4 linked regions of the Canis lupus familiaris genome follow. The protein of the gene in region 1 interacts with the protein of each later gene in a pairwise test. Links are inferred from orthologs where the notes say so. Each region holds a gene or a part of one and is shown in the gene's direction. Other genes may lie near its edges.

Region 1 (6,032 bases):
GTAGTTGCTGGAGATCAATAAAGATCAGTTGAAACAAGGGGTAGTGGTGGTGTCACAAAGGTTTCTTCAGATTGTGTGAAGGACCTGAAATGATAGGATAAGTAGTTAGAGTTTTGTCGCAAGGACAATGGAGAGCCATGGAAGATTTTTGAGAATGGGAGTGGCAGGGTCAGATCCTGACAACAGGAAGATGTGTCCAGCGGCTTGTGCATGTTGGTGAGAATGAGGATTTGCCATCCCTGGGTGTGACACGGTTACATTCAATGCTAGTGGGAGATTGCGAGTAACGGATTTAGACGATCATTCTGAAGAGCACCTCTACACTCTCCTTTTCTTCACCAAATTGAGTATGATTCAGTCATTTCACAAACTTTTCCAGATACTGTGTGGGTCTGAGTGCAAGCACTGAGGAGGAGGGTAGGGAGAATCAGGATGAGCCTCCCCTTCCCACGACCTCCCCTCCCAGCCTTCTCTCCACCCCTCAGTCAGAATGTGTTTTGATAAGTGGTGGCTTGGGGACAGCATAAGGGTGACAAACTGAGCCCCCCCCACCAATTAAATTTTTTAAAAAGCTGCTATGGAAGGAGCGAATATTAGTTTCCTGATTTATAAAGCCAAATGGATTAAGCTCATTCATTGCCTGAGGAAACAAAAAGGAAATCTTCAATACCTCTGTGCACATTGAGAACAGGAACAATACTGGTCTTTAGAAAGCAGAAACCTAATTTGGGGGAATCAATTACCCTCTGTGTCCCTGCCTCTGTGGGCTCTCATACTCGCTCGCTCTCAATAGAGATTTCCTGGGAGGTAAAACGTGAAGTTGGTCAACCACAGACACACCCTCGGCTCAGCCTCGCAGACGGGAGGGGAGAACTAGGCAAAGGGCGGGTGGAGTTGGGTGGGGGCGTGCCTGGGTGGCAGGCACCTGTGGAAATAGGGATAGAGGTAGGGGTGGGGAGGGCTGTGGGATAAAAGCAGGGGTGGAGTGAGTTGGGGTGGGAGGCTGAACCGAGATGCGTCAAGGAAGGGGACCATGGCAACCTGAGGTTTTAAAGAGGGGGTGGGCTGGGGGGGCGCGGTGGTGGCCGGAGGGGCGGGGTGGGGGGGAAGGACAGCCCGAACTGCAGAAACACCACCCACCACTTCCTGATCGCACGTTTCTGTGTTCTGCGCGTGCCCCCGTGTCTTGACTGTGCAGCGGACAATGCTGGGGCAGTTACGCAAACAGGAAGGGCAGGGGCGCCCGCCGCAGCAGCCACGGGGCCACGTTCACGAAGTCACGCGCAGCAGCACTCAGGACCCCACGGTCCCCGCGCTGGGTGTCAAACCCCGGCCCGCAGCACCCCGTCCCCGCCCCCCGCATGCGGTCACGCGCGCACGCACACACGCCCGCACTGCTCACACGCACTCTGGCTGTGCTTTTGTGTTTTGTCAGAATTAATGAGAAAAGTTCCCGTGCCCTGCGGGTAATTAGTGTCCTTGGAGTTAAATAAGCTAATGGCGGGCACCTCTGGCCCAGGCAATTATGTTTGTGTATTGAATAATTGATTCAAAGGGGGGAAGGGCCGCTAATCAGATCTGAGCATAATGAATTGATTTAATTAACAGGGGAACTGAGGGGCCCTGGGAAACGCAGGCTGCACTCGGCAGAGGCCAGCGCGGCCCGCGCGGACGGAGAACCGCGCGCGGCGGCTCCGGCGGCTCCGGCGGCTCCCGCGGCTCCGGCTCCGGCTCCCGCGACCCCGCGGCGGACGGACGCGCCCCCGCCCCCCCCCCCCCCAGCGCTCCCTGCCCGCGGGGCTCAGCTGCCCGCGCCGCTCCGCCCGCTCCCGCCCCCGCCCCCGGCCCCGGCCCCGGCCCCGGCCGGAGCGCGGAGCCCGGAGCCCGGAGCCCGCGCGGGGCCGGCGGGAGCGGCGCAGGCCGGCGGGCGGCGGCGGAGTCCGAGCCGCGCGCCCCTCCGCGTCCTCGGCCGGTGCGGGGCTGGCGCCTCCGGGGAGCCATGGTGCTGGAGCAGGAGGACGGTAGGTGCAGCGGCGCGGGCGGGCCGCGGCCGTTCCCCGGAAGCGCGGCGCCTGGGGGGGGGGGGGGGGAGCCAGGCTGCGCCGCAGGGCCGGTCGGCGGCGCGGGAAGTCCCCGGGCGGCCGCGAGCCCGCCGGCCCCGCACGCCCCGGCCGGGAACTTTCTCTCCGGTCCCGCCGTCCCGCAGACCCCCGGGCCCGTCTGCGACCCGCGCCGCGGCTTCCCGCAGTGCCCGCAGCCCCCGGCTTCCCGGCCCCCGCCGCCCCCGCTGCGGACCGGCTCCCCCAGGGGGGTCCCCAGGGCACCTGCAGGCAAACCGGCCCGGCCCCGGGGGCCCTCGGATCGGGAACTTCGTAGCTGCGGGGTGGGTGACATTGCTTCACCCCTGGAAGGTTCCCCCAGCCGAGCGCGTCGGGAGGTGCCCTGCGGGCTAGGGTCGGGCGGCGCTCAGGATACCAGGGGCGGGTTTACCTTGAAGCTGATGAAGTTTAAGCTTCATAGTCCTTCCGTGGTCACTTTGTGTTAGCAGCCGTGTATTCCTTTTCTCAAGAAGAGCACCCCCCCCCCAGCCCCTATATTGCATGAGTAAGCTTGACTCCCCCAAAAAATCTGAATCCACCCCTGAGTCCAACTCACAGCTTTCCCATGTAACTACCAAGGCTTGGAGAACATACAGCCAGGCTGCCCCATGGGACCATCCCCAGGGGACGGCAGTTCCTTAGCGCCTGGGGGATGAAGCCCTGGTGCTGGAGGCTGGGAGAATTTGAGGCTGGGAGGCAGCTGCTGGTGTACAGGGAAGGGCCCGGCTGCCTGACCTTTCTCTCTGGCCCCGCTGGTCCCTTGTCCCAGCCTACCATCTCCCACTGTGGTCATCAGCTGTCCTGGTTTGCCCAGAACCATCCCGTTTTAGCACAGAAAGCCCTGCCTCCTGGGAAACCCCTGAGTGCTGGGACAAACCAAGACAGTTGGTCAGCCTACATCCACAACCTTCTCAGAGCTGTTGTGCAGGGGGTGGATTGGCCTTCATCAGGAGGGTGGGAGAGACTTGCTTTCTGGGGTGCAGATTTGGCCTTGGCCTCCACCAGGTCTAACAGTGCAGCTTCCTAGAAGGGCTTCCAGAAACCAAAGGAGGAAAGTTTGTCAACTGTGTACTTCTCCACTCTAGCTGATTGCCAATTCCTGTGTTTAGGCTGCCTTTGTGTTGTTAGTAGGGGGCAGGGCAGGACATCTGAACTTGGCCAGCAGACATCCGGATTGCACTGCAAAATCTGTAGGGTCACTCTGTCCTTTCAGCTGTGGCTGCCACAGGGAAGGGGCCCTTGTCAGTCCAAATACCTCTTGAGTGTCACCTGTGAAGCCAGCTTGTAACCCCATCTTGGAGACAGCTGTACTGTGTTGGAAGCAGGGCCCTCAGGCTGAGGCACATCTGACAGCCACCACTGTTCTGGAATATCTGGTCTGCCTGGGCCCTGGGGCAGAGAGTCTCCTTCCCCTACACACACCTCCCAAACCCAGTGCAAGAACCCTTCATCAGGACTTTCCTGCCAGGTGCAGCGACAAACTGCTAGGACCTGCCCAGAACTTTGAAAGGCAGCTGGTAGCACCTCCTTTCTCCTCACCATGACCTGGGGGCTGATCAGCTGGTCTCCCTCTGCTGTCCCCAGAGGCATTTCAAGGACATTCTGGGGCACTCTTGGCAATGTTGACTTGAGGGTACGTGCATGCTCATTGCCCATGAACTGTGTTGGGTGCAAACTACCTCTCCTAGCCCCAGGGGATCCTGGACCTGGAGGCAGCTTGGGTGGGGGCCCCAGGCACAGGACTTACCTGCCTGCCCAGCAATTCCCCATGAGCTGAGAGGGTGGATGCTGGATGGGATGCTGAATGCTTGTGTCTAGCTCTGTCCACCTGGCAGGCCCCTTCCAAGCTAAGAGCTCAAGTCACTTAAACGTTTCAAGGCTTGCTGTGTAGCTCTGTCAAGTGGAAGGCCTCTGTGGAGGCCTTTTTCCAGATCACTGTGGGAGCTCAGTGCTCACAACTGGGGGTACAGAGAGCTGCCTATGAACACAAGCAGCCCTTCACACACAGCTGTGATCTGCTGACATACACTACCTGGTTCTTTAGCCCACGGCTCAGCACCCCAGGCCTACTCCAGTCCCTGAAGTGGGGCACAGGGTCCCTGACTCCCTAGAGGGATGCCAGTTGGGTGGCTGCTAATTGGTATCTTGGAGACTGGGGGGAGCTGCTGTAGGGACAGAGCCCCAAGCCCGACACATGAAGAAGAGAGTGGACAAGTGCCTTCAGCTAGTCAAGTCCCAGTTTGTGGGTCAGGGCCAGAGCCTTGAAAGAGAGGAGAAGCCGCCCTGGAACTGGAGAGTAAAGCCACAGGCCTTGTTGAGCGAATGCCTTCCGGGAGCACAGAGGCATCTACAGCAAGAAGCTACCCCTTGCCAGCCTGTCAGCCGATTGCCTGTGACATTGTCTGGCCCCCCAGCTCAGGCTGGGGTGAGGGGTTGGTACCAAACGTGCCAATGGCAACAGTGTCAAAGCCTCCCTCAGACCCTCGGGGTATAGTCTGGCTGCAGTGGCAGGGGAGAGATCAAGCTCGCAGTCCTGAGGGACAGTGAGGCTGAGCAAAATGATATATTTAACATCAAATATACTCAAGGACTATTAGGATTAAGTATTCAAGATGAAGGGGAAAGCGAAACCCTCTGAGCTGCGGATGAGGCATCTCATTAGAAGCAGCCTCTCTTCTGTTTTCTTAAAGCCTGACTTCCCCGCTTAGGCTAGAGGAAGATGGGCTGCAGCCCCACTCCCCCATTCCTACTCCTGTCAGGCACCCTGCATTGGGGCCTCCCGGGGCTTACCGGGCACAGCCTGGCCTCCAGGTCTCATTTATACTCAGTAAGTTCCCCCCATCGTTGGATGCCATGGTTTACAAGGCACATTCACGTACACTAGCTCATCTGATCCCTGCAGGAACCTTGGACAGCCGGTGCCCCACTTCACAAACAGGGAACTGAGGCCCAGCCAAAGTGATTTGCTAAGGTCCACCATTAGTCATAGGCAGAGATGGGATGAAATCCCAACTTGCTGGTCATTGCCTTATCCTTGCTTGGGTCTAGTCCTCAGAAGTGTCTGCCAGGGATGAACCTCTGACACATCTATTTGAAGCCTTCCTTGGCCTATAGAAAATCCGTTAATATTTCCATCCCCTCTTGGAACTTGTGACTGTCAAGAGAGAAAAAAACAAACTCTTGGTATTTTAGAGTGGCCTTCCTAGAGTACGCAGCCTGAGCATTAGCCCCAAGGCTCTTGGGGAGAATTGGGGTTCCAGAGGAGGGGAGATGGACGCTGTCTCCCCTTAACTCCTGAGTTACAGGGCAAGAATTTCCAACTCGGTAATATCAGCAGAGCTTTAGGGTAGTACAGGCGGTAACGCCAGTGCCTTAGAATAATACGTGCTCAATAAATAGTTTTGGAATGAGAAAAACCTTCAAGGCCATGCTGTGCTTCTCAGAGAGAAGCTGAGACAGCATCCGGCTCCCTGTGGAATTAGGATGCTCTCGGGGAGGAGGGGGCTGCTAGGGTGAGGGTTGTGCTGGAAGACTCGAGTGGGAGAGTTGGTACCCTGCAGAGGGTTAACTTTGCCAAACAGTCCGGGAAGCAACCAGGAGCCTCCGGCAGAACAGGTAGGAAGGGAGGGTCCGAGATCAGAGAAAGATCGCCGAGGTGGGAAGGGGGGTCAGGAACCAAGGCTGAGGGCGTGGCAGTGGAAGACGACGGTGGTCCAGCGGACAAGTATCTGGGGTGAGGACCCGGGGTGCTCCGCGGAGCCCCGCGCCGAGCAGGGGCCGGGCGACCTCCAGGTGGCGCTGCGGAGCCGGGCAGCCGCGCGTCTCCACTCCCCATTAACCCGGGAGGGAGGGGGCCTGGGGAAATGTGTGCATTTATTCAGTAGCAGGAGTGCAAACCTCATACATTGAGGGAGAAAGGCAGCGGGAGACGGC
Region 2 (5,922 bases), on another chromosome or scaffold:
ATGAGGAAGATCACTGGGCACTAACATAGAGACATTTCCAGGATGCATTGTTGGTGAAAATTTTAAGAACTTCAAAGAGTGTATATAGAGTCCTTATTTTTCTTTTTTTTAATATTATTTATTTATTTATTCATGAGAGACACAGAGAGAGAGAGGCAGAGACATAGGCAGAGGGAGAAGCAGGCTCGTCACAGGGAGCCCGTTGTGGGACTCGATCCCAGGACTCTGGGATCACTACCTGAGGCGAAGGCAGATGCTCAACCACTGAGCCACCCAGACATCCCAAGTCCTTACTTTTCTATACTTATAATATAGTATACCATATTTTGCACAAGAAAGGTCAAATAAGAATACATATATATTTGCTTATTTTTACAAAACAAGAAATACAGGAGGGATAAGCCAGAATTAAAAAATAATTACATATAATGTGTGGATGGGAATGAATAGAAGGGGTAGGGATGGAAATCTCCTCAGAGTTACCTTTATATGTAATTTTGACTTTGGACCATGCAAAATTGACCATATATATTTGAGAAATAAAAATTAATCAACAAGGAGTGGGAAAATGTCTGTGATGTTTGATACTAACATTGATGGAAAGCTGAATGGTAATTGTTGGTGCTTTGGACTGATAGTCTACTAAAAAACAAAGAGGAAATGAAGGGGAGGCACTTAAGAGATTGATATCAACTGAATTGTGTCTATTAACTGGTATAACTGGTACTTTCCCATTAAATTTATTCCTTAATTATTATTTTTCTTTCATTTCTACAGCTAACAAGAACTGCTTCTTCCTCTCCCATGCTAGTAGTTCTTTTGACAAGAGAGAAAAATAAATGAAACTATTAATAGTTTTCTCTGTTTTGGCAATAATTTGAGCCAATGATGGGATTTTTATATCATGTATTTTCCGAAGAGGATGATACACAATCATTGTATACTCTTTGCCAGTTTCTGAGTCTTTATAATTATTAAAAACATACATTATAGGAAATATTACTTGCTTCCTGAGCCACATTGTTTTTTCTTTTTCTTTCTATTTACTAGAAAAACAATACCAATAATGTACCATTTTCTATTAATACATAATCCTCTCCTTGAAAGTGTAACATGCCTTTGGAGCTAACCTTTTTGGAATTAAGAAAATTGTTATTTTATTTAACTATGGGTTTTCCAGTGAGCCAAATGTTAAAATTTTAAACTTTTTGTTTTTTTTTTCTTTCTCTCTTAAGATTTTATTTACTTGACACACAGAGAGAGAGAGAGAGAACACAAGCGCGGGGGGGGGGGTGCAAGAGAGGGAGAAGCAGGCTCCCCACTGCAGGAAGCCCAATGTGGGGCCAAATCCCAGGACCCAGGACCCTGAGATCATGACCTGAGCCGAAGGCAGGTGCTTAACCAACTGAGCCACCCAGGAACCTCATGAGGTTTACTTTCTTTATCTGTGTAGAATTTGTGGTCAGTTCAGTAAAAATTTATTGGCACCTACTTTGTGTCTAGCACTTGATTAGTTCCTTTTACTCAATGACCTTCTACTCAAATAGGCAAAATTTCATAGAATTTCACAAAGTGCTAGCAGTCTGAGAATTACACACACTGCATAGATAGAAAGCCAGAAGATGTCTAGAGCCATGTATAAAGAACCCTGTGTGTTTCTAATGAGAATGAAAGGAATTTGCTAAGCCTAAATAGCCTCTGTTTAGTTCTAAGTCAGTGATCACGATATTAAAGAAAGTTGTACCATTACACATATGAGTGCTTTTCATCATTCAGTGACATAGTGAAAAAAAAAATAACTAAGTAGAAACGTCAGTTCCCCATATCAAAAGCTATGAAATATAAGTGCTCCCAGCCAAAGAAGGCAAGATCTGGAATTTTTTTTTAAATGTGGATATATAGAATAAATATGCAACCCTCCTGATAATGTTGGCTGATGAAATGAAATTCACCAACTGTAATTCTGGCACAGAGAGACACACATAGTGCCCGCATGCACACACACACACACACACACACGCACATACACACACACACCCTCGGCATATCCTTAATCATTTGCTATCTTATTTACATTTCATTTGCTAGAGTAAATTCTATCATTTGAACTTTAAAAAAATGTATTTCAATATTACTTAGGGAAAAATAGGAAATAATGTGATTGGCTTTCAAATAGCTTATTACCATTCAAATACTCTCAAGATAAATTATATTAAAGGGAAAAAAAAGAAAGAAACCCTGTTTCAGCTTCCGAAACATTCTAAATGGAGACTTAGCTCTAAGTAATCAAAATTGCTTTAGTTGTGCAGAGCGGCATTAAAAGCCTTGTCCACTAATTGAGTGAAGCAGTGCTACTGGAGCAGCCTTGTCCCCTCATTAGATGATCTTGCAGGCACTGTTTGTCATTCTGGGTTGCCGGGCTCAATCTAACAGTACTGCTGGCTCAAATTAGTGGTAATTCATTATGACACAGTATGTCCTTCTGTGAAACAACAATATGAAGCCCATGGGGCATCTGTCTGCCACTACTACTTCTTTATCACATTCCTCCCACTTCAGTTCAAGTAACCACCTTTGCATGAACCTTCTAACTTCTTTATCTAACTGGTGATTGGGGATACAATTTGACTGAAGCATTGCATCCCCTTCCCCTCCACCAATGTTACAGAGCGAAAAAGGATGGGTATCACACAACAGGCCAAGTCAGTCTGGAAAATGATGCCATGTTTTGAAGGAAGCAAAGTGTACTTGTGTATATGTGAGTGCAAGGACTTCTTTTTGAATACAAATATTTCCCTTGTATCAAATCATAGAGGCTATTAATAGAACATATTGTGATAGAATGTTCATAAATGCCGCATAAATCCAAAGAGAAGGAAATTTTTCTGACTATGTGAGTTTGGTTACTCAACACATTTGGAGGGAAACTTCATGTTTATATGATGAGCATTGCTGTTCAAAATGAGACTTTTCTACTCATGGGTAGGTGGAATCCTGTCTCTAGGGGAAAGTTCCATCAGTGATGCGATTGGACACTTCCTCTTACCAACTCTAAATTGTGTGTATCAGTTAGTTCATTGTGTCAATTCAGATCATTTGTTCCATCTCTGGAAGAATGACTAAATTCAACTGATAAAGAATGTCTAAACCATGTTTAGATAAAGCTTTTCCTCTGAAATCCTTAAATTGCCTATGGATGTGGAAAAGTTCGCACTTATTGACTGTTGACTCTACTGTGTTGGAAGCGATGGTGCTTAGTCAGTATGAGGTACAGGACAGTAGTGCACCCACTGTTTTCCCAAGGCTGAGCCTAATCTCACTGCAGGATATCTACTCCATGCAATATGGGCCTGGTGGGATTTTAACAGCATTAAAAGCCTACCTACTTCCACACCATTTATCGTTTGAAATTCCACAATTAGACTCATTCTTTTGGATTATAGTTTTATAAAGAAGGAAAAAAAACCCTTTTCTTGACATAATCTGATTGCTTAAACTGGTTAATATATTACTATTCATTATTAGTAATCATTTATTCATTTATCTAATATTTAACTCTTTACCTTCATAAAACACATCCTAGCAAAATCCTTCAGTTCAGCAGTAGTCCTCATTACCCCATTTTACAAAATTCTTCCATAAAATATAGATATATCTGTTTTTACATCGTAGTTCTTAATGTGTCTTGACTGAATTCCTGCTTTCTTCACAAATTGGCTTCATCCATATTCAGTTTCACAACTTCAGTGAATAGCAACTCCCTCCTGTTTGCCCATTCCAAATACCTGGGAGTCATCCTTTGACTTCTAGCTTTCACTCACATCCGTATCTATGTCACTGGTAAATCCTATCTGCCAAAATATATATTCTGAATTTATACCATTACCATTTGGCTCAAGATAATGCCAGCTGTTGCCTGGAATATCAAAATAGGCTCTTTACACCTACCTTCAGTCTATTTATAGCATAGCTCTGAAAATAAGTGGGAGCATTTTTAGTTCAGAAGGTCTGGGGATTTAGAGATGCTAAATGATCAACCATGGGCTTGATGGTCAGGGCAAAGAGAAATTGCCTACCCAAAATACCAATAGCAACCCCATTGAGAAGTGCTGAGCCCATTAAAAACCTAAGTCACAGAATGTTCCACTTTTGCTCAAACCCCTTCAATGGCTGCTATTTTTTTTTCTGAGAATAAAAGCCAGTATTATTACAATGGCCTACAAGGCCTTACACAACCCATCTTTGACTCTCCCTTATATCTGATCTAATTTCCTGTTCATTCTCATTCATTCCCTGCATTACAGCCACTCTGAAAATACAGTCATTCTGACATGCTATTCTCACTGCCTGAAAAATTCTTTCCTCACTATGCATGTCTTACTCCTTCACCTCCTAACTCAAATGTCTTCTTTCTTGGTTACCCAGTTGAAGAGACTCTGCTAATTATTATTTATTATAATATATATTATTATAGTATATAATATAGTAGTATAGTATAGTATATATATATAGTATATAGTATATAGTATAGTATATATAGTATAGTAGTATATATTATACTACTAATATTTGTAGTATAATAAAGATATATAGTAGGTGCTCAATAAGTAGTTTTTGAATGAATGGATTTTAGCTTATAAAAACCTTAGGCAGTTTTCCATTAAAGAAACGAGACTTTAAAAGCTAACAGGCTAGTAGATTTGTCAAGCCTGTCATACATAGCTTAGTAAAGAGACAAATTTTGACCTGTCCTTATGAATACATTTATTTATTCATTTGCTAAGTATTTAACTTTAATTAGGCACTGTTCTAGGTGCTAGAGGTAATGAAGAAAAGTAGGTAAAGTAATGAAGAAAATAGGTAAGGTCATAAAGCAAACTAATTTTAGAGATAGTAAGTGCTAGGAATGCCTGGGTGGCTCAGCAGTTTAGTGCCTACTTTTAGCCCAGGGCATGTTACTGGAGTCCCACATTGGGCTTCCTGCAGGGAACCTGCTTCTCCCTCTGCCTATGTCTCTACCTCTCTTTCTGTGTCTCTCATGAATAAATGTATAAAATCTTAAAAAAAGATAGTAAGTGCTATACAGAAATAAAAGGAAGAAGGGAGTAGTTATAGGTAGCGGGGGTGTGGCCTCCAATTCTTATGTTTTTCCCACTGTAAACTGATTTTAATAATTACTTTATTTGACACATTAGCAAATACTTAAAAATAAAATGAAGTGGGGAATTAATACAGAGACAGCTATATTTTGAAGAGGTATATGTTGTCTATTAGAAAGAAAATGGATTATGATGTCAGACAGTCTTAGGTTCAAGTCCCAGATCTGCCACATGCTTACCATGTAACCAACCATAGACAATTAAGTTCAACTCAGTGTTCTCATTGGTTAAGTATTAATAGTGCATACTTAGAGGTGTCTGTGAAGTAAGGAGACAATGTAGATAAGGTATCTAAGACATAGTAAAATAAGTCAATAAATGGTTCTTTAAAAGACTTTTGGCTACTACACAGAAAATGGACCTGGATAGGAAGCCTAAGAGGGCATCTGTGTGCTGAGGAGAAAGATTAGGTTATTATGAGATCAGATTATTATGAGGTGCCAACTCAGAACCTTCATAAAAATCCTTTCTTTCCACCACTTAAATAGCAATATACAATTCTACTATTCCTAGGAAAGTTTTGTTATTCTATTTGATAACCTTTTGGTTATTATGAAAGTTACATAATTTATTGATGAGATGTTTAGAAAATGTAGATGAGCAAAAGAAGAAAGTAAGAAGTCCCTGTAATTGTAAAATTAACATTGTAACATTTTGACATTATCCTTTGGGTCATTTTCTTTTTTTCTTTAAGGTCAATTTTATAGCGTGTGTGTGTGTGTGTGTGTGTGTGTGTGTGTGTGAGATTGGTTATATAACTACA
Region 3 (5,874 bases), on another chromosome or scaffold:
CTACCATTCTTTCTTTGGTCTCTAAACTTCAGTTACACTGGTCTTCTTGCTAAACACAGGATTCTGCTCTGCTGTTCCCTTAGGTCTCAAATACTGCTCTACACTTATGCCCATTCAGGTCTTAGGTTAGAGAATACCTTCTCTGTGAGGCCATCTGTGATCAACTTCCAAAATTTTGCCTGTTCTCTCCCCCAAAGAAATGCTTTAATCAGATACCCTTTTATTTTCTTAATAGCGCATATTATAAGATATTATCTTTACTCTTTTATAACACTTTTTTTTTTTTTTATGGTCTGTTCCTTCCACTAGCAACAGGAACAGGAACCTTGCTCGTTTTGTTGCTGCTTAATCTATTCCAGGATTTTAGAACACTGCCAGTTACAGAAAGTGCTCATGAAACAACTTAAATGAATTAATATCTAATTGCCTGCCAGACATATGTGCTTGGTTGGCTCACAAGGACTTACAAATTCAACAAGGTCAAAGATGTCAAGGATGACTTCCTCTCAGTCATTCCCTTACCGGCTCAACCAAATCACCAAACTCTCAATAACTACCTTGGTCATATTCTTCACACTATTTGCCACTATCTCAGTCCAAAGCATTATTCTCTCACAAATTACTATTTTTTTCCCCAAACTGTTTTCCATGCCTGAGTTTTGCATAACAGTCTAATCTGTCTAAAATGCAAATCCAATCCTGTAACACTTCTACTTAACACCCTTCAACAGTTTCCTCTCAGTTCTTCTCAAAAAGCTAATTTCTGCACATGGCATTCAAAGTCTTCATGATTGAATCTCTTCAGGAACCTCTCTAGGCAGTCCTGAAACAGCATTATCTTCTTCTTCTTCTTCCTTTTTTTTTTTTTTTTTAAAGATTTTATTTATTTATTCATGACACACACACACACACACAGAGGTAGAGACACAGGCAAGGGAGAAGCAGGCTCTATGCACCGGGAGCCCGACGTGGGACTCGATCCTGGGTCTCCATGATCACGCCCTGGGCCAAAGGCAGGCGCTAAACCGCTGCGCCACCCAGGGATCCCCCATTATCTTCTTTACTAAACAATCTCTCCAAAGTTTGCCTCCTAACCTTTCCGTGTATTGCTGCTTCTGTCTGGAAGGCTCCTCCCACTTCCTTTATTAAAGCTAATTGCTTCTCAGTCCCATTTCATTCCTCCAACCCAGGTGGGCAAGAGATTTCTCCTGTATGAGATTTCGCAGTATTGAGCAGTTTACCCTCCTTATACTTACTGGTATACTTACTATTTACCCCTCTCAGTCTACAGTAGAAAGAAGATCAATGAGGGCAAGGATTCCATAGCAATCGTTAACTCAATGCTTACTCAAACTCAAAGGTTAGAGGAAAACATGGTATCAAAAACTTGGCAAATTTTTATCAACTGAAGCATTGAAAATATTACATCAAAAGAAAACAATATGGCTACTGTGACATTTACTTCGCTTCTATTTTAGGCAAAATGACTTAATAAGTTACACAAAGACTTTACAAATCCTTACCGCGTCAATATCCCAAAAGGGTAACTGGAGGTAGAAAAAAAGGACTTATCTCAGGCCACACAGAAATCAATGGGTCATACGGATTTCACTTAAACTCGTAAACTCTCCTGGATGAAACTCTTGGCGCTGTCTCAGATACTCCCAATTCCTAAATATGGGAAGACAGAAGCTGCAGGTCAGCAGCTTGGGGAAGTCATCCCCGGGGGCTCACCTGTTAAACACAATACCAGTGGGTTGGGGTTTACTTAGCAACTCATCAGAAGTGCATTAACTTGCAAAGGCTTTCACTCTGTAAACCACTATCTCCAAATAAACGTTCGCAGCCTTCTTCATAAAATACGGCACAACAATCATCTAGGCATGGTAGCCACGGTAAAAAAAAAAAAAAAAAAAAAAAAAAAAAGACCTTCACCTCTGAGGTGACAGAAATCCAAGGCAACAGAGCGAGCAATTAGCGTCTATGAAGTACGAGACACCTGCGACGCCATGGGCATGTTAAAATTAAAAAAAATAATTAAAAAAAAAAGTCTACAGGAATAAGTGCATCTCTGTGAGGAACCTGGCTGCTCAGTTCGAGCGACGTGGAGGAACAGCCTTCGTTCCCGCCCCGGTACCTCACCCGCCACTCCCGTCCCAGGCGGCCTAGTTGACTCTAGGGCCACTTTCAGTTAAATCCTAGCTTCCCGGCTGCCCTTCCGTGTCCCGGGGCTCTGCGGGGCGGCTCGGCTTAACCCCCCCCCCGAGTTCGGGTTCCCCGTCTCTCAGCGGTCACGTCGCAGAGACACCCAGGGAGGCACACGTCCTCTGGGTCCCCAACCGCCAGCCCCCGCAAAAAGAGGCGGGAAGGCCGCGCCGGCAGCCGGGAGGCTCCGCCGCGCACATGGCCCGCCGCGGCTCCCACCCCCGTGCCGCGCAGGCGCCGGGCGAGCCGGGACTTGCGGTCGCCGAGAGCGGATCATTCCGCCGCTTTCTTTGTGTGGCTCGAGCTCTGCAAATGGCCTATTTCCCTTCCCTCCATTAAAAACAAAGCGCAGACCCCGTCGCCCCCTTCCTCCCGCCGGAATGGGGTCGCGGAGTGGGTGGGAGAGCGCTCTGCGGCCGAAGGCAGGGGCGGAAAGGCTGAGGCGCGGGCTTGACAGGGGCCGGGTCCGGGAGGGATGCTGGGAGCTTTGACTCACTCGCACACCATGTGTCCCTCCGCGCGCAGCACGGGGGACTTTTCGGTGGGGATTTTGGGCGCCGACCAGACGCGGCATTTTCGGAAAATAGCGCCCTGTGCAGCTGAAGCGCTTTGTGTGTAGCGGGGCCGCGTCAGCCCGGCCGGGTACGAGGCGCCTCGGGTCCCCGCACCACCTCCTGCTGCTCCCCCGTCGCCGCTCCCGAAGCTTTTCCAGGTCAGTGCGGGTCTGTGTAGGGCCCTGTTACCACCGGATGTGGAAGTTGATCTCTTCGCTGGTAAAAAATAATTCCACTTCCCCCGGAACCCAGATCATCCCCGCGATTTCCTGTTTATTGCATTAAGGCGCCGGGTTTCCGGGGCTCCTGGCCCCGCTTATTCCGCGGGGGTCGGCGGGGTCGGCCTGGGCGCCCGCTCCGCCCGCGCCGCCGCCGCGCTTTGTCCGCCGGGCACCCCGCTTCTGGGAGGGGCGGGCAGACATGGTGGCGGCCGCCGCCCCCTCCTCGGCCCCGGCGCGCCGCGGCCTCCCAGCCGGCCCGGGCCCGAGCGGCGGCCCCGGGGCGGGGAGGGGGTCGAGCCCCGGCGGCGGGGGCTCTGCGGGCGGCGGGCGGGAGCCGGAGGGAGGCAGGTTGGCGCGGCGCGGCCCGGCCGGGCCTCGGCGCCCGCCGCCGCCCGCCGCCCCGGGAGCTGCCGGCCTCTTTGTCTGGGCGCCCTGGCGGCTTCTCCGGAGCGGGGCAGGGGCGGCAGGGGCGGCGGGGGCGGGCGTCCTCGCGGGCGCAGCGCTGTGGGGCCTGCGCGGCCGGGACGCGCTCGGGCCGCGGCGGGAGCGGCAGCCCTGACGCGGCTGAGCGGAGGCCCCGGCCCGGCCCGCGCGCCGCCGATCGCGCCTGCTGCCACGACCGCGGGCTCTCGGGCCCCTGAGGGGACAAAGGCCCGCCGCTCCGGATGCTCGGATTCTGCTCTTGGGACCTGGCCGCCGGGATCTGCGGGTGCACGGCTTCGGAAGAAAGTTGAGAATTTTGCCAGGTCATTTCTGCCTGGACACAGTTAATCCGTGTGTGTGCAGAGAGCTCGGTGGAAGCCGTCGTGCCGCGTTCAGTCAGCGAGCATCGCCTCAGGGGTGCATCGCGAAAACTGAAACCAACGGGATAATAGAGGCCTGCCTCGTGTGTGTTTTCCCACTTTCAGCTTGTTTTCAGTACACAGACGCTTGCTTTAAACCTGATTGGACTGTGGCGAGCAGACATCTGTTCAAAGGAGGGGTGGCGACCACGGCAGTACTCTCGGAGGGGGGCTTGGTAACGTGGAAATATTGTAGGTGCTCTCTGCGAACACTGGTTTGCTGTCTCGGTTCAGGCAAGTTACTTTCTGAAGTATCATTTTTTTTTTTTTTAACCTGGAAAATGTTTTTGATGTAGTCAATAAATGGTCCTTGAAAAATAATTTCCCATTCCAGAATTAGAGGGGCACTATAATTTATTACGCAGATGGTAGTGTTGAAAAATTCTTTTTGCAGTTCGTTATTTCACGTATAGACCTACCCAGCTTGGTGTAAGTTGCTTCGCGCTGACCTATAACCATTCGGCCTTGGCACTGCCACTTTCAGGCTCAGGCTCTCTGATTTTAAGGAAATTAAAGATGGCCTTACGCTTTTATTAATTTTTTTCTCTTAATTTTACTCTTTACATATCCCCCCCCTCCCCATAATAGCTACAACAAAAATTCATTACAAGTTAATACAGGTGACATTAATACAAGTTAATACAAGCGGTAAGAGTGACATTGTTTTGCATTTCTGCAGGTCTTTTGAATGTCTGGTTTAAAAGACATCTAGATTCTTAAATCTCTACTGCATTCAGTCTGTGGTATCACACCGTGTAACCTCTGGAAAACTCCCAAAACTCCATTGTATGCTCATGCTTGTTGTTGTGTAATTTTTTTTTTTTTAAACTGAGAGATTTGTCATTTCTATCCTTTCACCATACAAGTCGAATCAGCATATTATACAAGACACATTTAAAAAAATATGGATAGGAGAGTTGATTTCTATACTTGTTTCTTGGGCTCTTTTTTTCAATTTGGGATTTAGATGCATAAACAGTATACAGATTGTGTAATCTGCATATGATCCTGGAGACTCAGGAACACTTGAAAATATTTTTAAGTGACTAAACTTTATTTTTAATTCCACAATTTATTTTTAATTATGTACACAAAATGTGAATTCCATGTTAGATACGCTTGTAAAAACTAGTGTGTAAAAGTAATATTTGAAGATAGGACACTGTCAAAAGCCCTGCAGGAGTTTCAGATTTAAAAGGAATCCTGCAGTGAAACATTTGGTCAAACAATACTTTTGTAATGCATATACTTAACTTTAGAGTTAAGTCTCCTAACTTAGAGTTTGAGTTCTCTCTTTCTGTCCATCTGGGTATTTTATATTTTAGGTTGGGGGCCAGTTACACTAAATGTGTGAAAATGTAAGGACATACTTTGGTTTAATGGTTTTGAAATGAAGCTAAATTCATTTCCAGTTGTTTCTGTGAACTCTATTTTGATTCTGTCAGACTAGTTCTCTACTGTTCCATCAACAGGAAGCATCTGGTCATTCTTGACATAATTGTTTGAAAATGCCAGGTATATTTTTGATGTTTGCCATGCAAATGAAAATAAATATCACATTGGATCTTGGTTAATTTTACTTGTCTCCCTTTCATCCAGCATCTCTAAGTTGTATTTATGGTGGAACTCATCTGTAGAATGGCCATTTTCCCCCCCCTCTTGAATACCTCATAAGTTAAGAATAGTAACAGGTAAAGCAAACAAGTCAGGAATTCAGAAGTCATTACATGAAGTTTTGAATCATGAATTTGTTTTGAGTGTGTATTTTTTTTTTTTTTTAAGATTTTATTTATTCATGAGAGACACAGAGGCAGAGACGTAGGCAGAGGGAGAAGCAGTCTCCTTGCAGGGAGCTGGATGCAGGACTTAATCCCCACACCCCGAATCACACCCTGAGCTGAAGGCAGAAGCTCAACCGCAGAGCCACCCAGGCGTCCTTTCCTTTTCTTTCTGTGTCCTGACCTAACTTGACTTTCTTGTTTCTACTACTTTTCTCATGAAATAAGTGCTCTTTAAGAATTTCTACAATCTGTTCTGTTTTCTTTTCAACTT
Region 4 (5,797 bases), on another chromosome or scaffold:
CGGGCCCATCCGTGTAGGGGTGTGAGGTTGGGTCTTTCAAATGAAAACAGCCTTAAGCATTTACCAAGGTCTTACTGGTCTTGCTATGACCAGCAGCTTTAATGTATGTATTAGCTGCCTGTCTTGTCTTGTGGCCTGAAAACACTCCTTTTAGAGCACTAGTGTCATTATCCCCATTTTGCAGTTGGGGAAACTGAGGTGCAGTGAGGTGAAGCTACCTTCCCCCATCCCACATCAAGGAAGGAGCAAAGTGATTCGGATCTCTGAGGTCTTACTTTAGTAACTTCATTAAAAAAAAAAAAAAAAAAATTCTAGGGGGCTCCAGGGTGGCTCAGTCAGTTAAGCATCTAATGTAGGCTCAGGTCATGATCTCAGGGTCCTGGGATTGAGCCATGTGTCAGGCTTTATGCTCGGGGGAGAGTCTGCTTCTTCTCCCTTTGCCCTCTCCCCTTCCCCCTGCATTCATGCTCACTCATTCAAATAAATAAATAAATCTTAAAACAAAAATATCTAGGTACAAAGAGAACCTTTTTTCCCCCCTTAATAACTTGAGACTAAGTTGCCTACTTGATGCCCTATCACTCCCCTAAATACTTTAATATTTCCAGCAAAGACATTTTCCAGCGTAACCACAGGACGGCCATCAGAATCAGAAAATGAACACGGACACATCACTACCATGGAACTTCAGACCGCATTTAAATTTTGCCAGTTATCCCCATAACTTCGTTTACAGCAAAAAGGTCCAATTCAGAATCAGGTGTTGCGTTTACCGGTCATGTCTCCTTCGCCTTCTTCAGTCTGGAGCACTTCCAGGGTCTGTCTTTGACTTACATGCCTTGGGCACTCTTGAAGATCACAGGCCAGCTGTTTGGCAGAACATGTCTTTATTTGGGCTTGTCTCCAGTATCCTAGTGATTCTGTCCCAGGTATGCATCTTTGACAGGAATATCACGGGGGTGGTGCTACGACCTTCTCAGGACATCCTATCGCACAGTACATGAGGTCCACTTGCCCCGTTGTTGGGGATGCACAGCCTGATCCTGCGCTCAGAGCCTGTACTCCTAGTGACCCCTAGTGACCCCACCGTCCCCAGAGGCCCCTTCTCCAGAAGCCACGTGGAGGGTCCATCTGGTGAAGCAGATCCACTAGCATCAGCCCCTCGTGATCTGAGTAACTGCTGCTCCATGAAGTCAGCTGTAGAGCTGGAGAGAGAGCTACAGAGAAGCCAAGCGAGCTTCTATCTTTGGCTCTGGCCTATCACCAGATGCCTATACATTTCCAGGCCCAGACTCAACACGGTCTATCTGGTCTCCTTGTTTTTCCTCCCTCTGCTCCCTGGTGGAGCTTCTCCTCTGTTAGACTCTCTTCCCCTCCTGCCCTCTCTTCTATGAAACCTCACTTTCTAACATCTTTCCTGACTACACACTGTGTGTCGGCCTCGGTGACACACGTCAGTGGGGACGCAGAGACCACGGGAGTCACAGCGCGTGTTTCGAGAAGCTGGCAGTCGCTTGCCTTCCTGTGGGTTCTGGTTTCATTCACAACGGCGGGAAGTTGGATCCAGATCTTTGACTAAGAGCCGGGTGCGCTCCGTGTATTCTTAACAACTGCCGCTTGCACCTTTTCATCATAGGAAGGAGAGAGAAAGAACGTGAGCGAAGACTAGGGGCTGACACGCCTAGGCAGCCCTGTGCTTGCACATTTCATCTCCCCGGATCCTCAACCATTTTGCAGAAGAGGAAAGCGAGGCTTCCAGAGGCGCAGGGACTAGGGGGGCCCCGGGCCCGGGTGCTTGCGGGGTGCAGAGGCAGCCGCCACTCCCCGGGCGGCCCGAAGCCCTTGAGCCTCGGCCCGCGGGGCTCCGCACGGTCCTATCAATCGGTGAAGGAATGAAGGTCTCGACCACGGGCTGGGGGGCGGTTCCCGGAGGGAGCGCGTGGGGCCCTGGTCCGCCCGTCCCTGCGCTCTCAAGCTCCGCGCCCACCGCGGTGCTCGGCCAGGGGCCCCGACGGCACCCGAGACCTTGCTCCCGCCGGCAGCCTGGCCCCGCGCCCCGCGCCCCCCGCCCCGCGCCCCGCGGCCGCCCGCTGGCCCTCACCGCTGCCCCGTGCGCCAGTCCTCTAGCCCCTTTTACGCAGTCGAGTCTCAGACTGGCGGCGGGGTCCCCGCGGGCCGGGCGCGGCACGGAGGTCGGGGAGGTCGGGGAGGAGGTCGGGGAGGTCGGGGAGGTCCGGCAGCGCGCCCGCCGCCATCCGAGGCCCTGGAAGCCCCGCCTCCTCCCTCGCACTCGGCCCCGCCCCGTTGGAGCCCGGGACGCGCTCGCCCGTCGCGGCCGTGACGAAGAGCGCCCCGCGCCCGCCCCCGCCCCCTTGTACGTCATTTCCGGCGCGCCGCCGCGGGCACATCCGGGCTCCTGGCCTCCGGCCGGTAGCTGCGCTTGGACCCGGGACCTGCGGAGGTGAGCGGGGCGGGGGTGCGGGCAGCGGTGGGGCGTCCCCGCCGGCGGGCGTGAGTGCGGGGGACGCAGCCCCTCCGCGCAGCCTGCTCCAAGCCTGCTTTCGAGCGCCGTCGGCGCGGAACCGAGGCCCGGTGCTGCCCCTGGCTCGTCCGCCCCGCGCGGGCTCTTCGGGGGCCCGGGGAGGCCGAGGCGCTGCGGAGCCCCGAGTGCTCGGGGGCGCTTCCCTTCTGTGCGCCCCGCCAGCGTGGCGGGGGTGCAGTGAGCCGGGGAGCCTGGGGACTAGCGCCCGGACGCGCCGGCCCCCGCGAAGGCTGCTTGCCGCCCGCGGCTGTGGTGACGCCGCGACGCCGCCGCCGACCCGCCGGAGCTGGGGTTTCAGCAGTCCTCCCCGAGGTCCCCTCCCCAACCTACTGATAGTGGCGGTGAGGAACCTGATCTGGGGCTACCGTAACAGCCCTTGCTCCCGGAGCGTTTTTACTCTGAGCTTAGTATTTTAAATTTTTTAAGAAATACTTATTTGAGAGAGAACGTGAAGCGGGGTGGGGAGGGGCCGAGCTGGAGCGGAAGAAGCAGAGTCCCCGCCGAGCAAGGACCCCGAGGTCTTGACCTGAGCTTAAGGCAGATGCTTATCCAGCTGGCCCACCCAAGCACCCCTGAGCTAAGCGTCTTTTAGGCACCACCTCGTTTAATCTGGCTCACAGGCATTCCCAGAGGGTGGGGGTAGAGTCAGCTGAATCTCATCACTCAGCTACCAGGAGCTGAAATCTCTGTTAAGGTAGGGTTTATGCCTTCAGAAGAAGTTCATGTTTTGGGAGGAAAACTTTTAAGTCTTAGGGTCTCACCAAGTAATATACTTCAGGAAGCGTGTTCTAAAAACCATCACTCCCGGTGGTGAACCGCCAAGGGTCCAGATATAGTAACTCTTTCCTCATATTTAGTTGTTGTTGATCCTTCGTTTTGACTCCAGAGTAACTACATTTTTTTGTGAGATTGTAAAAGTACCATTGAAGTTACAACTAATTTAAGAAGAATGGGAGAAGGCCAGTTAGAAGCCTCAAATCTTCCAGCAAACATCTGGCATTCTGAGGTGACAGTGTCCGTGACAGGCGAGCCACCCAGTGCTGTAGAAGAAGAAAAAGAAACAGCTGAAGAACCGGAAAAAGAAGTCCTCCCAGACATCGTAGAGCCACTCTCCATTCTAGATGTGCTGAGGATCTCTGCGGTTCTGGAAGATACTGCAGACCAGCTCTCTATTCTAAACTATATCATGCCAGTTCAGTATGAAAGAAAACAAAGTGTCATCATGGTATTAAAAAAAAAGGGGGGGGGGTTCCAGGAAGATGCCCACCCCGTTTCTGAGGCAGTAATAAGTAGAATAACATACCGAGTTATTTTTTTGTGGGTTATTTAGGTGTGAGTGTGTGTAAAGTTTTATGACCTTGACCAGGACAGGGAATCGCATATTGTTGGGACCAGTCTTTTGTCCCACCTGTTTAAATAGTGTTTGTTTTCTGAAATATGTTTTTAATGTCTGCCTTATTGAACTGTTAACAATGATTTTTAATCATTGGGACTTTGAGTGTGAGGAAGTTTGAAGGGAGTGAGGAGCAGGGACGGAAGCCTACTGCTGCTCTCCCCTCAGGACTTACCACAAACCACGTGCCTTTTTTATTCCTTTCTTTAGTGACCTGTCATGTCACTGTCCCACTTGTACCGGGATGGGGAAGGCCACATGGATGATGATGACGATGAGCGGGAGAACTTTGAGATCACCGACTGGGATCTCCAGAATGAATTTAACCCCAACCGGCAGCGCCACTGGCAGACCAAGGAAGAGGCCACCTATGGAGTGTGGGCAGAGAGAGATTCAGATGAAGAGAGGCCCAGCTTTGGAGGCAAACGGTACTGGCCAGCATGAGACTGCTTCCTCCTCGCTTTAGGGAAGATGGGGGGTGGTGGGAAGATAGCCCACTAAATATACCTTTCTCCTGGCCTTACCAAGTCCTGTAGCTACGATATAAGCTAGGGAGGCCCAGCTTCCTCTTTGGCCGGAGTGCTGCTCTTTTGCTGATTTAACCATCACTTCATGTTTAACGAGCAGTTATATGTACCATGTCGTATACTGCAGCCCCATTCCTTTCCTTCTGGGAGCCCAGACGCTAGAGCATGGAGACACATTAATTGACAGCTCATACGATGGAAGTTTATAACTGATTTAGGACCTGAGAGAGAGAGAGTTTGGCCTATTCTGGGAGGTGAGGGAAGATTTCTCTAGAGAAGTGACTTTTGAGTTTCTATTACAGCAGAAGGTAATGAGGGTGGTAGGAGAGGCACGGGTATGCAGAGGCTCCTGAGGGGAGGCGGTGGGTGTCCACAGGGGTACAGAAAGCTTTGCAGGCTGCGGTGAGGGAGGGAGAGGGGGCATAGTTTGAGAAGAGGTCTGTGGTAGAGCGGATGATGTGGGCTGCACTTACCTTTGGAGAAGACCTGTCAGTGTGCAGAGTTGACAGGGAGCTGCAGGGGAAGAGGAAACTCCATGAGGCAGGAGAGGAGGATTCAGGCCAGTAGTCGTCCTCCCCAGTGTGAGAGGTCATGTGTGCAGTGGCCACAGCTCACTTGACCAGAGCGTGTAGCGAGTTTGGCTTTGTCTCTGTGTTTCGTCTGTGGTTTGTAGGCTCTAGCCCATTGACACTGTGCGTTTTTCACAAAGGAGGCTGGGGAGAAAGTATGGAGGTCAGATCAAGTCCTCATCTGGCAAGGAAACCTAAAAGTGGGTGATAAATAGATCAGAGGTCAGGAATTAACATTCTCTATAACCATAAGATAGTACCTTGTTCTGCACTCTACGTGCTTGGTATCCTTCACCTTGTGAGAAAAGTAGCATCATTATCATTCCTTTTTTCAGATTAAAAAACTGAGGCCAAAAGCACATAACCAGGCTGTAAGAAACTGGGCCTGACTCCTGAGTCTGGGTCTCTACGGCCTAAGTTACATTGCATTGTTTAGGAAAAAATGCTACTGCCATGGGGATGGTTAGTGACAAGTTGGTCATTTTATAAAGGTAACCAGGAAATAGGACATTGTAAGGACTGTTCTTGTGACAGTTGTCAACATTGATACTCTCTATCTCAGAGTTAATTTCTTAGGTATTTTACTTTAGTTTTCATACGCAAATAAAGGTAATGAAGGTGAAACTTTTCTAAGAGTTTGACCAATAAAATTGTTAATATACTTTGCATTCATACAGTTTCTTTTATTGTGTTTGATGATGTTTATCTATCCGAAGTTCTTTCTTGCTTGATTTCTGTACTTGAAACACGGGGTCCAAAACAAATG

Evidence for each region. The genes of interacting proteins can lie anywhere in the genome.
Region 2: the proteins of LMO1 (region 1) and SOX5 interact in binary tests that used the Homo sapiens proteins (3 or more experiments, as listed by UniProt). The two-hybrid records come from large-scale screens. The link is inferred for Canis lupus familiaris from reciprocal best matches to the Homo sapiens genes LMO1 and SOX5.
Region 3: the proteins of LMO1 (region 1) and GABPB1 interact in binary tests that used the Homo sapiens proteins (3 or more experiments, as listed by UniProt). The two-hybrid records come from large-scale screens. The link is inferred for Canis lupus familiaris from reciprocal best matches to the Homo sapiens genes LMO1 and GABPB1.
Region 4: the proteins of LMO1 (region 1) and TFIP11 interact in binary tests that used the Homo sapiens proteins (3 or more experiments, as listed by UniProt). The two-hybrid records come from large-scale screens. The link is inferred for Canis lupus familiaris from reciprocal best matches to the Homo sapiens genes LMO1 and TFIP11.

What each region holds. Positions count from the first base shown.
Region 1 is NC_049242.1:32,367,026-32,373,057, reverse strand, and holds the start of LMO1 (rhombotin-1), read left to right. Parts: upstream 1-1,914; 5' UTR 1,915-1,999; coding exon of another isoform or gene 2,000-2,021; intron 2,022-2,490; exon of another isoform or gene 2,491-3,108; intron 3,109-6,032. UniProt on the Homo sapiens protein: May be involved in gene regulation within neural lineage cells potentially by direct DNA binding or by binding to other transcription factors.
Region 2 is NC_049248.1:23,355,743-23,361,664, reverse strand, and holds the start of SOX5 (transcription factor SOX-5), read left to right. Parts: upstream 1-2,533; 5' UTR 2,534-2,679; coding exon 2,680-2,758; intron 2,759-5,922.
Region 3 is NC_049251.1:16,590,927-16,596,800, reverse strand, and holds the start of GABPB1 (GA-binding protein subunit beta-1), read left to right. Parts: upstream 1-2,485; 5' UTR 2,486-2,917; intron 2,918-2,956; exon of another isoform or gene 2,957-2,978; intron 2,979-3,562; exon of another isoform or gene 3,563-4,056; intron 4,057-5,874.
Region 4 is NC_049247.1:20,594,888-20,600,684, reverse strand, and holds the start of TFIP11 (tuftelin-interacting protein 11), read left to right. Parts: upstream 1-2,408; 5' UTR 2,409-2,461; intron 2,462-4,145; 5' UTR 4,146-4,154; coding exon 4,155-4,363; intron 4,364-5,797. UniProt on the Homo sapiens protein: Involved in pre-mRNA splicing, specifically in spliceosome disassembly during late-stage splicing events. Intron turnover seems to proceed through reactions in two lariat-intron associated complexes termed Intron Large (IL) and Intron Small (IS).